3 linked regions of the Caenorhabditis elegans genome follow. The protein of the gene in region 1 interacts with the protein of each later gene in a pairwise test. Each region holds a gene or a part of one and is shown in the gene's direction. Other genes may lie near its edges. The genes, in order: F42G2.5, ubc-8 and rrc-1.

Evidence for each region.
Region 2: the proteins of F42G2.5 (region 1) and ubc-8 interact in a two-hybrid assay, tested with the Caenorhabditis elegans proteins (one study listed by BioGRID).
Region 3: the proteins of F42G2.5 (region 1) and rrc-1 interact in a two-hybrid assay, tested with the Caenorhabditis elegans proteins (2 studies listed by BioGRID).

What each region holds. Positions count from the first base shown.
Region 1 is NC_003280.10:2,415,086-2,420,992, reverse strand, and holds F42G2.5 (Major sperm protein), read left to right. Parts: upstream 1-3,003; 5' UTR 3,004-3,021; coding exon 3,022-3,190; intron 3,191-3,253; coding exon 3,254-3,544; intron 3,545-3,591; coding exon 3,592-3,737; intron 3,738-3,785; coding exon 3,786-3,904; intron 3,905-3,958; coding exon 3,959-4,013; intron 4,014-4,188; coding exon 4,189-4,489; intron 4,490-4,538; coding exon 4,539-4,582; 3' UTR 4,583-4,996; downstream 4,997-5,907. Other genes in the region: fbxc-20 (F-box C protein), read right to left, coding at 324-438, 489-1,382, 1,434-1,504; F42G2.7 (phytanoyl-CoA dioxygenase), read right to left, coding at 1,988-2,356; fbxa-4 (F-box domain-containing protein), read left to right, coding at 5,545-5,627.
Region 2 is NC_003282.8:2,704,231-2,710,137, reverse strand, and holds ubc-8 (UBC core domain-containing protein), read left to right. Parts: upstream 1-2,899; 5' UTR 2,900-2,906; coding exon 2,907-2,962; intron 2,963-3,011; coding exon 3,012-3,088; intron 3,089-3,535; coding exon 3,536-3,684; intron 3,685-3,855; coding exon 3,856-4,003; intron 4,004-5,001; coding exon 5,002-5,222; 3' UTR 5,223-5,397; downstream 5,398-5,907. Other genes in the region: Y94H6A.10 (Ulp1 protease family, C-terminal catalytic domain containing protein), read left to right, coding at 1-17.
Region 3 is NC_003284.9:9,828,201-9,834,107, reverse strand, and holds the start of rrc-1 (GTPase-activating protein rrc-1), read left to right. Parts: upstream 1-2,819; 5' UTR 2,820-2,897; coding exon 2,898-2,968; intron 2,969-3,804; exon of another isoform or gene 3,805-3,953; coding exon of another isoform or gene 3,954-3,973; intron 3,974-4,356; exon of another isoform or gene 4,357-4,441; intron 4,442-4,872; coding exon 4,873-5,022; intron 5,023-5,257; coding exon 5,258-5,387; intron 5,388-5,436; coding exon 5,437-5,520; intron 5,521-5,907. Other genes in the region: ipla-2 (Intracellular phospholipase A2), read left to right, coding at 1-43, 164-325. UniProt on the Caenorhabditis elegans protein: Functions as a GTPase-activating protein (GAP) for ced-10/rac-1 and CDC42.

The sequences.
Region 1 (5,907 bases):
GAAAGCAGAAAAAACATTTTTGGTTATATTAAGTAGGAAGACATTTTCCCATCATCATCGTCATATGAGTTATCAACTGATAATGATGGTAAGTCGTTCTACAAATACTAAAAGGGTAGGCGATATTTGTTGATGTCGAAATTATGATAATGTAAACACAAACAATTAGCAACAACTTCAATGATCAATTCTAGTTTAAAGATTTTAATAAAACTTTATTGAAATTTGCTCAATATCAGAAGTAAATAAATCAGTATCAGGATAAATTGTGAACAGTTATATTTGCTTCTGTAAACAGTTGGGATTTGAATTCAGATGTAAATTTACATAACTTCTCGTTGCTGAACTTTATACTCCAAAATCCATGTATCCACTTTATGACTGACGACAATATCCGTGAAGTTGTTTATATGAATGGTCAGTTGATTCTCAGCAGTTCTGCAAAAAAAAAACTATATTTTAGAGCAGCACCATCAAACTTTACTTACCCTTCTTCCACATTATAATTTATTCGAATTTTATCCAGAACATCAATTATGTTTCCCTCATTCCTCATTGCAAATGAGAAATGCGTACCAACTTCCCGCCCGTGCTCCATCCAATCCTCGAAAAGCCGAAAAGTAGCATCATACAAGTACGCATTAATGTAAACTCTTTTGTGCCGAACTTTGAGCAATCCCTCCCCGGAAATCACTTCGCAGTATAAAAGTAGCATCTCAGCGGTTTGAATAAAATCAATATCAAGATTCGGAGCATTCATAAGGGGATCAGAAATGATGACACCTGATAGTGGTAGGCTTTTGATATCCAGTAGATGTTGTGTGGCATTTAATAGCTTTTCCCGGATTAAGCCATTTAACTGTACAACTTTAGCACGAATTTTGAGGTGTCTCGGGATTCGGAGTATTCCAGAGTTTTCCACGCAAAATTGTCGGGCTTTGATAGTAGGCCTTCCTCCCAGAAGCTTATCAATTAGGTATTTCATAGCATCGTGAAGCTTCCGCTCATTGTATTGTAATTGCTCAGAGTGATTTCCAACGGAAAACCGGATGTAATGAGTATAACTGGAGCTGGGAGCATTTTTCAAATCAGCTCGAGAAATCCTTTGCTCATTGTATGATGTTGGATTGTCGGTTCTGTCATCGACCAAGATCTCCTGTTCTTGTTCCTGGTCTGGCACTACCATTTCCAAATCTATAGATCCTTGGCTATTCACATCATATGGAAATGCTCGTGGCTTAAGCGAATTCTCGATCACATTCAATTCATAGGTGGTGCCATTCAATTTGATGCTGTTCTCATTTAACTTTAAAGATTTCAAATATAAAGGTCTTGATTTGTCAATAGAAGTGATTGTCCGGCACTGCTGGGAGAGTTGGAATCTAGAAAAAAAGCTTGTTTAAACATTAGTAAAATAAAAATAAAAAACTAACTTTTTATCAGGCTTCAGGTGCTGAAGAATGCTCCCAATGCTTGGATATGACAATGGTTTCGAGCTATTCATTTTTGATAATAAAGAATATGGAGAGAATTGAGCAAGCCGGTTCGATTCAACCAGATGTGTCCCATTATAGGATTATCTAGCAGCTGGTCTTATTCGGCAAGGCAGGCGTATCTCATTATCTTCCATCACCTTTTATTTTGATAATTAAAATGAACGACGGGGTATATCCGAATTTTTTGGTACAACAAAGTCACGGAAATCGATTTGATATGGGTCTTTAAAGTTGAGTAGTTAGGTACACCCCTACCACAACTCTGCGTAGACCTTGTTTAGCCATCAAGGAACTTGGTCAGGCTCAGCTACTTACACTACTGTTGCATGGGGCTTTCTAAGCAATCAAGCCAACCGTAAATTTTTAGATTTTTCACGAGAAAACTGAGAATGATCTATAATCTATAAACCACAAACTTTTAAAATAATGTTTCACATAGCACATGCTCGCTGGCAGCCTTTCTGAAAAGGAAAACGCGCTCTAACGGAAAGTTACTCCAAGATATTGAAAATGCGCGCGCGGGCGTGTATTTCGTCGTGACACGAGAACCCATCGGATCGACTGGCACCGGATCCGTGGAACAAGCACGGATGGTAGAACACAAAATCTCCAGCCTTCATCTCAACGGATTCACGTGGAAGGGACATGCCATAGTCCTTGTTCGCGTAGTATGCCATGTTGACAGCACCCTGAAAATGGTTTTTGTTCAGTGAATTCTGCGTTGCTGGGCCAGAAACATACCTCTGGGTTCCTGGGATCACTGGCAGAAAGACAAGTCCTCTGGGCGCCACGGGAAGTAGATCAAATCCTGATGCATTGGGTGACGTGATGCCAGTGATTCCGTGTACTGTGGCTTGCATATGTGTGCATCACTTCAAATCGTCCTTTCCAACGCATTCTCTCACGTGTAGAAAACCATTTGCTTCTGAAAGAATATTGCTGCATGGTCTTGAAAAGTTCGGCCATCGATTTATCGATTTATCCAAAACTCACTGTTTGCAAATCCACGTGTCGAAAGAACCACGATTCTGATGATTTCATCAGCGACATGAAGATGGTAATGAATATTTTTGAATTTCACTTCCTCCCCCTTTTCGTTTTCTTTTGAAACGTGGATTTTTTTCACGTTTGTCTCTCAATTAATTTTTTTTTCAATTTTATAAATTTAATTTTTAATTAAAATAAATATTTTTTAAATAAAAAAACGATGCCTGAAAATGTATTTGAATATAGGATCACTTTGACAGTTAACAGCGATGAGATGATACCACAAAAACTCTATATGAGGACCTTTTTCAACAATATTTCTATTCTACACATTATGAAAAAAACAAGTAACACATGAAAAGAAATTGTTCCTAAGTCTTAGATAAGAGTAACACCCAAATTGATAACAGTTTTCTTTCGAAAGTTGCTGCCTGTTAAATGTCATAAAATTTCTGGTAAATATTTCTAAAATTACTTGAGTTAGGCTTTTACTTTACATACTCTTCTCTTTGCATTTAACTAATATTACAGATAAACAATGCCTGAAAAAAAGAGTCTTCTAGAAGTGCCTCCAGAGCTCGTCTTCAGTGGTCCATTCGATCACGTGATCACTACTTACATGACGCTCACAAATATATCACAAAGCCCAGTGTGTTTTCTAGTAAAAACAACGGTTCCAAATAGTTATTGTGTTCGTCCAAACAGAGGTGAGTATTTTGAAGAAAAATGAATGACACGGTTACCGGACGGCCATTGTTTCATTTTTAAAGGAATTCTAAACATTGGGGACTCGAAACAAATTGAAGTGATGCTCCAACCTTTGGAAAAAGTTCCACCTGATGCTAAGCAGCACAAGTTTCTGGTTCAATCGTGCGTCGCGCCTTCCATTGATGTTTCTGATTTGGAATCAGTTTGGAAAAATGTCAAACCAGACGAGCTTACCTACAATAGGCTTGTGGTTACTTTCGTTGACAATACAGATTCAAAATCAAACATCGAGTGCGAAATATGTACCTTGGAGTTTTCAAGTGTTGTTGATAACCAGATTCCTAGGATTCTTCGTGAGTTTTGATGCCTCTAAAGTGCGGCAATACAATTTTTTGTACAGAGTGTGGCCACTCAATTTGTCAAAGCTGTGCATCAAAGCTGGCCAAAAACTGTGTTATCTTATGTCCATTTTGCCGGAATGAAACCAATGTGAGCAGTGTGGCAAGTCTTCCCAAAAACTTTGCATTACTGCAAGCAATTGATCAGGTAAGTTGATAACAAAGTTGTTCTCAACTGTTGAACAAATTTTTAAAGAAAACTTTACGAGTTCCACCGTTGGAAATCGCAAAGTTAAGACAACAACTGAGCTGCCAGCTCTCAAAATTGGAGGAGCAAGTTAGTAAAACTGACAAGAGTATTAAAGCTGTTGGCAGGTAGGAAAGTTGGAAAATGTGAAAAAATTATTAACCAAAAAAAAATAAATTCAGAGCCCAACTCTCAAATTTGAAGGATGGGAGGGAATTTCAAGAGAGAAAGGATTCGGTAGGTGAGGACTGTAGACAAAAAAAATTTAATTGCCCGGATTTTCCAATATAACTGCTTGAAACTTTCCCCCACAGTACGCTGCTATAGGAACACTTCCCAATTTTTGAATTTTTCGAGGTATTCCTTAGCACTCATAATATAAATTAAAAAAAAATTACACACAGCTTTACAGATAGTCTCCTACTATGCTTCAATACGAGAAACTATAAATGCTTTGGAAAACGAGGCGATCGGAAAATTACACACCATCGCAGACATGAACGTTTCAAAGAATGCGTTGCTTGTGGCAGAACTATCAGAAATCCTTAAACATCAGAATTTAAAAATTGCCGAGTTGAAGTTGTCGATGGAAATGGACGACGTAGAGCTTGCGACAAGATCCTTAACCGATTCGGGAACGGAATGTGCAGTTGTAAAACCTGCCGTTTTAGATGTTGCACTCACTTTTCCGGAGATAGACAAAATGGCTTTACGTAAGATAGCTGTATGGATTAATGTTTTGTTTCAATTTTGAATTTTCAGTTTCCATGACAACAAAATTCCCTTCCAATTTCAGCACCGTGTAGAAAATCCAGCTTGCTGTTTGGGTTGATCTTTGTCTGCAATCACGTGGCGCAATATTTATGTATGTATGTATAATACAATACAACTAATTATAAAATGCATTTTTTCTTTGCTGTGACCAAATTAGTTCTAAAATCTTTTTCCCGGCCCTTTCATAGTCTTTTAAACCCCCAGTAATCTACAAAACATATAAAAAATATTTTTTTAAAGGAACATAGTAGATAACTTTTTTTGATGCACTTAAAAAAATCTCCCAATATTGATTTTTTTTTAATTTTAAATTTCGTCAAAACTTTTTGATTTAATACTGAATTTCTTTGAATTCTTTTTGGTTTTTCTAATCATATTGCACACTTTTAGCACAATTTCTGTGAGTAATTTGTTGCAAGTACGTTAAATAAACTATTTTGACTTTTTGAACAAGTTCGCAGGAGAAATTTTTTTTGTCAATTTTCTAAAAAAAATTTGGCTTTTCTTTTGATGAAACTTTGTAAAATCCGTTAATTTTGTTATTTTCCATATAAAAGCTGACATTAAAACTTATTAAAACTCTCGAAAAAGACGTGGAATTTTTTGTTGAAAAAAATACCAAAAAATTCCATAATATTATCCTTCAGAAAATATATTTGACAATTTTGTAGCTAACAAGGTTCTAAATTCACTTCAGTTTTGACCAGAGGTATTTACCAACCGCCCTCCATTTTATGATGCATTGCAGAATATTAGAGAACCCATAGATTTAGACACGCAGAGATCAAAAACTGATAAAAAAAACCGTCTGTTCAGAAAATGTACAAACTATGAAAATGATGTGCATTTTGTCGTCACAGTGTTTACACTTGTTGAGTTTTTGAACTCTTCTCGCCATCCTGCGTACTTTTATAACTTTTCTCCATATTACTATAAAAAAAGAGGTTAATTTTATGTATAAATTCAGATGAACGTTGAAGAATTGTTTTCGGAAATGCAAATTGTAGCTCCAACTTTGCTCAATTTGCCTTTGCAAGTCGCTGAACAAGTTTTGGAAAAACTTGGGGTTACGGATCTGTGAGTTACTTTTTCTAAATGTTTGATAAATACTTTTTTCTAAAAAAAGGTATAAAATATGATTTTGTAGTATATAGTTTGTGACGTTACCTCACCCGTTTTTACCAAATTTTTACGATTTTGTACAAAAGCTTCAAAAAATTTTGAAAAATGAGCAAAATCTGGAATACTTCCGTACAAATTTGCAAAATTTTCACAAGGTTCTTGAAATTTCACAAAAAAAAATTTCTAGCTATTTTAATTATTTTTTTTCAAGTTTTTTTTGTTGTCGCCATTAAAA
Region 2 (5,907 bases), on another chromosome or scaffold:
CATCAACTTCTTCTTAATCCAGGTGCTTCGTAATAATAATTGATATTTTTTTGATTTTTGATTTTAATTGATTTTTCTGTGTTTCTTTTTTTAAACTAAACTTACAAGCATGTTTTGTTTAAGGTTTATTGGTTTAAATGAATATCTGAATGAAAAAAAAAATATGTGAATGAATAAATAATGTGAATGAAATATATTTAAATGAAATGAATATATTTAAATGAATATGTTAAAATTGAGAAATGTTTTGTCACTGGCTTTGGAAACAACATGAGCATACGGTATTCAATGGTTAGGAATATGGTCATACACTATTGTATTTTTTCTCGTCTCCCAGAGAGCGTGATAAATTATTAAATATGTATAACAAATTCCCATTCAAAAGTTTCTAGAATATTATTTGAATGAAAAGTTGTTTGGAATATTTGGGCTAGAATATATCCCTGCTATTTTTAATATTTCACATCGTTATTTGTCATTGAAATAACGTCAGAAAGTCCAAAATGGAGTAATCCTCTCATCATTTTTTTGACTATATCGAAAACATTATGATACATTTATAATATGAGAAAATCTTGAAAATGTCTTGATTGAGGTATTGTATTTCTTATATCTGAACTCCAACTGCTAAACATTATTTTTAAATTTCCGCCAATTGGATTTGTTCGGTGGAGCGTGCTTGCATTATTTTTATTTATTAATTATATTTACTCTCGTTATTTGACTGATTTTCTTAATTTTCTATGTTTTTTCATCGGAAAATGAAAGAAATAAACAAGACAAATGCAAAATGTTTGTTAAAAAGTAATTGAAAATGCACAAAACTATCAGATTTTGAGTTCCGACGGCAACAATCAGTCAAATAACGAGAATAAATAAAGATTAATTGATAAAAACAATGCAAGCACGCTCCACCGAACAACTCCAATTTGCGGAAATTCAAAAATAATTAGGGGGGAAAACTGTGATTTTATTTTTTTTTAATTTTTAAAAAATCATATAAAATCAGGGAAATTTTTTTGAATTTTTTTATCATGATATTCGGTCATTGTGGTACCATACGCGTGCTTTAAAGCAATTTCCCCACTGAGCGTAGTCCACCTTTAATGTATTTATTTTAAATAGAAAACATATTAAAACTAAATTTCTGAAAATGAGCAAAATGTGTTGTCAATCTAGAATACGTGCAAAATTGAACTTTTCTGCTTAACAAATCCCAAAATGTCTAGAAAAGCCGCGCAATATTCTCTAAAAGTTCATCGTTCTCTCCCCCCTCAGCTGTTTGTATGCCTACTGCGCGCCCATTCGTCTCCCCATGAAATCTCCGCGTCTCACGATCCCTCCTCTCTCGCTGCGCGTCTCCACAAAGTGCACACTCTCTCGCGTCTGTTGTCTCGTGTTTTCTTTTTCTCTGTCCTGTCTAACCCACTCTCTCACTTCCGTGTACTCTCTCTCGAGTCGCAAGACACGGCTGGCTGCCGGGGGGCGCACGCAGCACAAGACAACCAGCCGACGACGACCCGCGCCCCGATGATCATATGTTTTTCGTCCAGTTTTCCATCGATTTTCAACCGATTTTAAGCAGTGTTTTGCGCACTTTGAAGCGTGGATTCTGAGAGTGCTGTAGACTTGGATACTGCAGCTATACGTGGCAAAAATCCCGTGTAATTTGGAGCATTTTGAAGAGGGTTTACACCGGTTTAAAGTACTATCAGTTGTTTTTTTAGTTGTGTAGGGTTGTGAGGGGTACTGTAGCTAATTGATGATAACGGTACAGTAATCCTGAGTACTGTAGAAACACGTGGCAAAAATTTTGACCATTTTGGAGCATTTTGGAGCATTTTTACGGGGAGCTCATTGAAGTGTTTTGGTGTTGATAGGAGTGCTGTATCTAGGCTAGGGGTACTGTAGCTAACTCAAAAACAAAATACAGTAACCTGGGGTACTGTAGGAACAGATTCTGGAAGTTTGAGAAAATTTAAAGCATTTTGAATAGTTTTAACAGAACTTTTTATGAGTTCAATTGTTGTTTTTTTTAAATTTATTTTGATGCCATAAAGGGTACTGTAACTGGTCTAGGAGTATTCTAGCTACAGTAATATTGAAGTACGGTAACCTAGGGTACTGTAGCAACATTTTCTGAAAATTTGAGAAAACTTGAAGCATGTTTAATAGTTTTAACAGAGGTTTTTCTGAGCTCAATTGCTGCTTTTTCGTAGTCTTGATAGCATAAAGGGTACTGTATTTATGCTAGGAATGCTGTAGCTGACCCAAAATTTTAGTACAGTAACCTGGGGTACTGTAGGAACAGATTCTGGAAATTTGAGGAAACTTAAAGCATTTTGAATAGTTTTAACAGAACTTTTTATGAGTTTAATTGTTGTTTTTTGTAGTTTTCATGGCATAAAGGGTACTGTATCTAGGCTAGGGGTACTGTAGTTACATCAGTATCTGAGTACAGTAACCTAGGGTACTGTAACAACATTGTCTAAAAATTTTGAATATATTGGAATGTTTTGAACAATTTTACGGGATTTTTTTTGAGCCAATTGAATTTTTAAATGTGTTTCGGAAGCATTGTGCTTACTGTACCTAGTCTAGGAGTACTGTAGCTACATTAATATTTGAATACAGTAACCTGGGGTACTACTGTAGCAACATTTTCTATAAGTCTGGTGACATTTGGAGCAATTTGAGCGAGGTTAAGCCTGGTTTTGGCCTGAAACTTTATTTACGTGTTTCCGGGTTACAGTAGTCTACCGTATCTCAGGGGTACTGAGAAAATTTGTTCAAAGACTATTTTCAAGTCCATGTATGAAATTTTTTTCCTTTGACCAAAAAAAATTTCTTGAAATTTTTTCCAGAAATTTTTTTTCTATCTGAAAAAATCGATATTTTCAGACCCGATGACGTCAGCCACCGCAATCGGAAAACGCCGTATAGACTGTGACGTCGTTAAGCTGTAATTGAATTTTTCGGAAAATTCCAAAAAAATCGATATTTTGTTCCAGAATTTCCCACAACCATGAAGTTCAGATTGTGAATGGGTGCAGCGAGTTTATTGTCAGATTTCATGGGCCAAAAGATAGTACGTCATAAAATAGAGAAAAATTGAATATTTTTGGCAAAAAAATCAGAAAAAATGGCCCAAAAATGACTGAAATAGACTTGTTTTCGCGCAGTGGCCGAACTTTTGCTTTTTCTAGGCCACCAGTTGAAAAGTTAGTCCCCGAAATTTCGATGTGACAACTTAGATTCCTCGTAATACCTGGAAATCAGAAAAAAACAGCTGGGGACTAGTTTTTCACTTGGTGGCCTAGAAATCCAAATGTTCGGCCACCGATTTTCTAAATTTTTTTAAAATGATTTTCATCGTTTTCTAGGGTGGTTTTTGTGGTTTTAAACGGTTTTTCAATTCGAAAATTCGAAAATTTCGAGAGTTTTGCCCATTTTCCTCCAATTTTAGGAAACTTTTCCCCAAAAAACTTCAATTTCAGACAGGTTTTACCGATTTTTCGAACAAAAATTCTTGCAGCTGCCTACGAGAATGGTGTGTGGAGAATTCGTGTCGATATGCCGGACAAATACCCGTTCAAATCGCCGTCCATCGGGTTTTTGAACAAGATTTTCCACCCGAATATCGATGAAGCTTCGGGCACCGTATGCCTTGATGTCATAAATCAGGTAGGAATTGGTGGCCGAAGTGTGTGGAAAGTTAGTCCGTGACTATGTTCTTAGTCATTTTAAGTAATTTTAAGCAATTACCAGCCCGCGGACTAACTTTTCACTTGGTGGTCTAGAAATCCGAAAGTTAGGACGCCGATTTTTTTAATCGGATTTTCATTTTTTCTTCAGGCCTGGACAGCCCTCTACGATCTCACAAACATTTTCGATACCTTCCTGCCTCAACTTCTCACCTACCCGAATGCAGCAGACCCCTTGAACGGAGAAGCCGCCCGGTTATACATTCACAAGCCAGAGGAATACAGAAGAACGTGTAGAGGTGCGTTGGAACACTAAAAAATCAATATTTGCATTGAAAAAACCATGAAAATCGACCCAGAAAGAGCGGAAATGCGTTGATGGCCGAGTTTTGGGGTTCTAGGCCACTAGTTCATTTCTTTGAGTTTTTACTGTCATTTAGTATGTTTATAACACGATTTAGCTTTAAAAACCGGTTCACTTATACTGGGGGACTAGTTTTCCACTTGGTGGCCTAGAAATCCCAGAAACTAGGCCACCGTTATATTTTTCGATTTTTTTTTTGGGGGTTTCAGTTATTCTCTGTAGTTTATACGCTGAAAAACAGTTTTTCTAGAAAGAAGTCCACAAGAAAAACCAAAAAAAAATCGGTGGCCTAACTTTTGAAGAATTCGGATTTCTAGGCCACCTCGGGTATTATATTTTTTTTTCACGGTTTTAGTAGGCTTTCAACCCTGAAAAATAAGGGAACCAGAGGAAAAAAATAGATAAACACACGCTTCGAGCCCAGTTTGGAAGTTGGTGGCCTAGAAATCCAAAAGTTAGACCGCCAACTTTTTTTTACAATTTTGATTTTGATTTAACCATGTTCTAAGCTTATTTGTGTAAGGATCTCAATTTTCGCGAAAAAAATTTTTTTAGAGAAAAAAATGTTGATGGCCGAACTTTTGAATTTCTAGGCCACCTACTCGAAACTGGCCGTTTTATTTTATTTGGAGCTTTTTTTAATTCAAATTATTAAAGTATATTTTAATCCTTTTTTTTAATTCGGCAAAAAACAATCGGGGACTAGTTTTTCACTTGGTGGACTAGAAATTCTAAAAGTTAGGCCATCATTTTTTTTTTTGCTTTTTTTTTGCTTTCTGCGTACTTTTTACGGTTCTAAGTGGTTTTTGAGGTTGAAATTGCAAAATTTTAAGAGTTTGAGCGAATTTTTCCATGTTTTTAGCAATTTTTTGATCAAAAAAATGGAATTTTGCCGATTTTTATCGATTTTTTTAAATTTTTTTTTATTTTCAGAATACGTAATGCGATTTGCAAGTGAACACCGTGCCATAGAAGGATGCTCCCCGGGAAACGCCTATTCCATATCCTCAACACCCTCGGAGCACTACGATGGTCACCCGCAGGACGATGACGACGAAAGTTGTAGTTCAATGTCGGAATTTGATGAAAGTGAAGTGAACTTTGATGATTTTGATGCTGACGACACAATGACTGTAGATCAAATGGAATTTTAATGGGGGAAATATTCGGAAAACTTTTATTTTCCGCTTAAAATTCTTTTTTTTTTGTTCAATTTGTCCGATATTTCCCGTGAAAATTAAGTCAAAACTAGTTATAAATTGAGATTTTTGAGCAAAACTCACACTAGAATGATGCAAAAATTGATGATGGCCGAACTTTTCTGAAATTTTTTTTTTCTAGGCCACCAAGTGCAAATATTTATTTTCATCAATCTAGGGGTAAAAATGCTCGAAAATTTCAAATTTTCCACTCAAATCTCTTCATTTTTCCCATAAATCACCAATTTTTTTGACCTCAAGCCCCCCCCCCCCCCCAAATTTTCTCTTCAATTCCCCCCGAAATTCAGGATTTTTTTGTATTTTTTCCCAGTTTCTTCCTTCTTCGTGTGTCCATATCTTCGTTGCCCCCGTTTTTTTTCTCGTTGTCCTTACTCATTTCCTATGAGCACCTGTGTAGAATGTGTAGAAAATTGTAAATATTATCGATTTTTCCTTTTCGCGGACTGCCTTTCCCTGTTTTTTTCGCCCAGGTTTTCCTGTATTTTTGTGAATTTGTTTTTTTTTGGAATTTCTCGCTAGATTTTGTGTACATAATAAAGCTTTTTCATGAGAAAAACAGGCATTTTCAGAAAATTATTAATTACACACAGAAAAGCTGAATTTCCCCTTGGGGTACGGT
Region 3 (5,907 bases), on another chromosome or scaffold:
TTTGGAAATCCCTTTCTTCAGATTCTCCGCACCATTATCAAAAGTATGTTTTCGACCTTTATCTCATCAGTGTCACAAAACATTTATTGGCAGTTTATGAAATAGTTCTCTAAATTTTAGCTGTAAAATATTTTTGAAAAATAAATGAACATTTTTATTTCAGAATATATTTCTTTCTTCAACTAGCGATTTGGATGTATGCACAATGATGTGGGATTCATTCATCTACTGTCGAAAGCATCGCGATTATATTGATGAGCTTGTAAAAGTGCTCAAGCACGACACCGACCACCCGCACGTCAAAACACCATTCACAGATCTCTAATTATTAGATTTCATGTCATAAACAGATTTGATAGACCTCCAGCATTTGTGTGTACAAATTGTATATTTCAGTTGTGTATAATAATGTACTTTGCAAAATTGATTAGCTGATATGTGTTATCATTTTTCCCCTCATAATCTCCTACCCCAGTTTTACTCTGATTTCCCTGTTGATCTTCCTATGGAATACCGGCACTTTTATCAAAATTTTAGATTTGTTTTATTGCTTTAAACGCCAAACCGCTCTCCTTTTCGCTCAAACTCGCGCTACCCTATTTTGTTGTGTCAATTTGTGACTGTCATCAGTTGGTTCTCTCTTCTTTCTACTCTCTGAATCAAAGTCTACCAGTATGATAATTCACTTTTCAATATTTTTTCATGCATTTATATCTATGAGTTGAATGAATTGGGCTTTAATAAATAATTGGGATCAAACGACGATTGTCTCAAGAAAAAGTGTCACTTGCGAAGACGTGTAAGACGATAACATCAAGTGTTGAAAGCTAGATGTTGAAATAAGGTCATTCAATTTTCATTTTCAATTTGATGAAACCTGAATTTTTCTTGGAATTTCCTACAAAAAATTTGATGATTTGTGGTTTCTTATAATTACTACCTGAAAAGTCCCAGTTGTCTATTGTATATACATGCCAAACTTTTGCTTTTTTGAGCTTTTTTTTCAACCCAGACTTCACAAATACTTAACATTTGGTATGTTGGTAACTTTTTTGTCATAACACATTTTTCGAACTTTGTTGTATTTTTTGTCAAAAAATGAGTTCCGTATTTTTTCTATTAGTTTTGCAGCCTCTAATAGTGTTGCAGTCTTTATTAGTCTTTCACCTCTACGGGTCAATCCAAAATTTGTCTTACAAGCAAGATTGATTCAGGAAACACGGTAATTCTTTCTACAATTGTTCTGGCACTATATAATATGTTCTAGTAAGGTTATTTACAAGTTACAGCTCATAATATTACTAACAATTTGTTTTCCCTTTTGCACAAATACATTTTAATTGTCAGATCAACTTTAGGTATCCATATTTCTTAAATTACCAAAGAGTAGTTGAAAAAAAAGAAGCTAGAGCATATGACGGTCATTTTTGTCTGCAAGAACATTTGAACCAGCAAGCCCGTCTCACCCAATGCGGTGATAGTGTCAGGTGGTAGATTTGTATCGAGTGCTCCACAGAAGAGCAGCAGCTAAAGAGCATAGGGGTAGAAAAAGAAGAACGTATGTGTGTGTGTGTGCTTCGCCAGAATTGTGATACGTAGAGACAAGACGACGGAGATTGGTTGATGAGACGAAGAGAGAAACTCGGGACCCGTTGCTATCTTCTTTATCTTTAGACCGAAACTTTGAAGATGAAGAAGATGAAGCGTCCGGAAATATAACACACTAATAACCCTTCGTTTTATCATTTTTGACTCAAAATCATACTGATTAGCATCAATCGTTCAACCAGTTCTTTCTCATCCTTAACCATCCATGAAAATCCTGACACCTGTTGTGCCTAGAATTTGGTTTCAAATGGCTTGTACTTTCTCTCCTCCTTAACAACAGCAGCTGTCCACTGCGTTAGAAAACCGGAAACCCGGCACGGATCCGTGTTGGCTGCTGCCCCTGAAGAGCTTGGTTATCTTTTTTGCTAGGTGTCACAAGTGTTGATGAATTTTTGGAACCAACCTGAGCTTTTTTTCTTTTTGCGTTTTTTGTTCTACCCAGTCGAGTGATAAACGTTAATTGTATGTGTTCTAAAAAACAACACATTTTCCGAGAAAATTATGTGAAATTTGTGTATATTTAATCAAAAGTTTAGAAGCATAAAGAATATAATATAAAATATAAATTGCTTTATTTTATTTTTAGTTTTGGTTTTTTGTGTAGAATTATACGACCCTTTTTAAATTTTATGATAAATTTCTAATAATCCAGATAAATTTTGCTCTGGAACCATATTAAATTTGAGTGTATGGCTTCAAAACCTTCTTTTTTTAATTTCAAAAATAGAGTTTCCACTTAAAAGTTACAACATCAGAAACTCACTTCCTCACAACGTTTATCTTCAAATATCACGAAACGAGGTACATATATATCTAAAATCTTAATCATAATCTTCAGTTTTATCCTAAAACTCTCGAACAAGATGTTTCTGGCCACATGATTTTTTAACACATGTCTGAAGATTCTTGGTTGTTGGCTCCTAACAACGCCTGCCTTCCTATGTCATTGCTCAATTTTTGACAACTTCCAAACAGAACCCATATTTACTCCTTCAGTCACACGACAATTTAACTGATTTTCCTGATTGCCCCCTTTTCGTCCCGCTTTCCTAACTAAAAGCCGTCACTTCTCATTTGCCAACACAAATTGACATGATGTTTGCATGTAAATAATCGAACCGATCTATAAGCAAAGCGTGTGTTTATAACATGTATTTTTCCTCAAACACCACACGTTTACCTTTTATTCTCATGACTTCCGGTTGCCATTTTCAGGAAGGATAACGAGGACAACAAAAACTGGTAAAAACATTTGAAAAGCAACGTATTCATTTAAAGTGATGTAAAAAATGGAAGGCATCGAGGAATCATTTGCACCTTTATCTCCCAAAAGCCCATTTGCACGCAGAAACGGAAGAAGGTAGATTTTTCGAAATTTTTTAGATTTTCAAACTTTAAAAAATTTAATGATTTAGGTTTGCCAGAATCCTAATGCACTCAAATTTAACATTTCGTTTTCAAAATACTTATCTTTGCTTGCGCAAAAGATATTTTGAATAAAGATTTGAGGTCTGGAATTAACCATTTGAGCTAATCGGAAAAGAATTAAGAGAAAAACGGGCGAAACCCGACATTTAGATTCATCCAACTTGTTTCAAAAGCTTTCAAAAAAAGTATAATAATTTTTTAAGCACCGTGTTAATGATGCAGGGTGGCCTATAATTGTGGGCCATCGTGTAACGTAATTTCCCTTCTGTTGTGGAACTTTTTTTCAAAGTATATTTGAAACATAAATTTAATTTTATGTAGACAACTTCAATTTTACTGTAAAAACAACAATTCACATCATATGCATAAGAAATTGTTAAAAGAAGAGTAACAGTTTGGTTTGTTTTTTCTTCGTGCTACAACTGATTCTACAATCTGCTTAAAATAAATATTTTTACCAAGACGTCTTGAAGCAATTCTAAGAGTTGCAATACAGACCTGTCTTGTATTTTTGTTCTTGAAAAATAACTATGTGAAAGGTCTAAAATTCTCCAGTTTTACTAAAAACGTTTCGAAACATTGAATTGCTTCCAACAACCTTTTGATAAATGTCCTTCCATAAATCTAACCAGTGGCCCACATTTTGCAATTTGATTTTTCTGCAATCACTCTCTGGTCCATCTCTTTCTCCCCTTTCATCCCAATCAAAATTGAATGTTTCATCGCTTATCCGCTTGTCTACCGCCACGACCGGCGAGTGCAGCTAGCGTACGATGTAGTGAGCGTGGGATTACACACTCACCAACAGAACCTTGAGGAGAGACCTCTCGGCTCCTATCTATTCCATCTCAATATTTCATGTAATTGATTGAATGACTTTATTTTGGACTTTATCTATTCACTGACTACTTGCAAAGATGGATCCAGAAATACCAGGGTACAAAATATGTTGAATTTGTAGTAGAATGTTTATAAATCAAAAAATTCACTTACGGTCTCCCTCATTATATCCATTTATTTGCAAAAAATTTAGTTAGGTGAATTTAGAAAAAGGTGGTTTTTGTGTTTATCGGTTGCCCAGATAAAACAGTGCAATAAAATTGGAAAAATAATGAAGTGTATTGTTGTACATAAAAAATTTACTATTGGTTACAGTGCAACATCGAGTACTGTGAGTTTTTGAAAAATATTGATATCAAAAATTTATTTTTTTTACCGTTACAACAAGAATGGCAGGCGTTCGGCAATTCGCATCAAATTATCCACCAATTTTAGCAATTCAAGCAGTTTTCAACGAGATGCACATTTTTCAGAATCAGTGCCCCGGTGGCCGAGCGGTCGAAGGCGTGAGACTTATGATCTCATTGGGTTAAACCAGTCGCGGGTTCGAATCCCGCCCGGGGCAATATCCTTTTTTTACTATTAAATCAAGTTTTACCAAAGAATAACCATTAAAAGAAAAATAATTCGAACTGTACATTAAATAATTGTAACTACTTCAGCCCTTTTTAACCAAGTTTAGGCCACTATAGAAACATTTTCAGTGCAAAGTTTTCAGCGCATCCCCAACTTTAATTTATTTTACCCAACTTTAGCCAGTTTTTCACTAAATGCATTCCTAAAGCTGATAAGGTTGGTAGATATGTTGCGGCGTTCTTTCAAGAAAATATCTTTACATTTCTTCACCACAAACATTTTAATTGGAATATTAATGTTTTAGTATCAACTTTGTGAGTTGAAAAATTTTTGAAAGAAGCAAATTTTGCTAGCTGGAAATAATTCATATACTACTTCACTGTTTATTTCGTTGAATATCAACAATTTATTGTGTTTCAGTCTTCGCATTCAACGACTAGTCGACTGTCAACACTTCCATTATTCGTCTGTTGAATTGGGTCCCGTCCGTGTTGCCATCATCGCAATAAACGCTGACGAGAATGCAACAGAGCGGATAAAAATGCGTGTGGAAAGTGAATCAAATTCATGGTGAGTTGGTCATTCCTTCTGTTTCCAATTTGTCTTCAAAAATTCGTGCTCCGTGGTGTTTCTCTCGGTTTTTCTTTCAATGTTCTGCCACACAGAAATCAAACAAAAAAGCCACGAGTGAAGTCTCATGGGAGATGAGAATAAAGGCTGAATAAAGTTAGTACGAGGAAGAACAAAAAAGAAAAAAGAAAGAAAAACGGAAACTTGAAAGGTTTTCCATCATTGATTCATTCAGGCTTGTCGAACGTTCTCGGGAGGATTGGGCAGTCTTCGACAGACAGCTGCATCGTTGTGTGTTCGAACGAAGGCATTCACGACTTGACGAGCTGTTTCCTCTTATTCATCTGGAAACGGCAAAGTTCGAGGTGACGGCTTCTTTTCAAAATCACTAGTCATCACATTTGATGTTTACAGGAAGTTCTTGTCAAGTATACGGAGCGATTATCGGAACTCACTGGCAGCATTATAACGTGCTATCCTGTTCTGAAATTTTTAGAAGTAAGCGAAATTGTTTTTAACTCCAAACTTCAATTTAATTTAAATTTAAAACTGGCTATGGTTTAGACTTTTTACAGTATCTCTTCAAATTAGAAAAGTTAAATTAAAAAAGATTCGAATAAACCAAATGAACCCAAGACGATAAATATTTCATTTCAAGTATTGCAAACATTTCAGATAGGAAAATTTGTTTTCCTTTCTGACAGAATAGTAAGTCTGTATTTCAAAGAGTTATTCAATTATTTGAACCTTTCTCACAAAATTGGTGAGTTCTAGTACAACCTTGAAAAAATATCTTGTTCTTCTTATGATTTTGACACCACTCGCTCTTAACTGCAGTGCATATTTCATTTCTGTGTTTGTTTTTATTGCAAAACATATGTACAA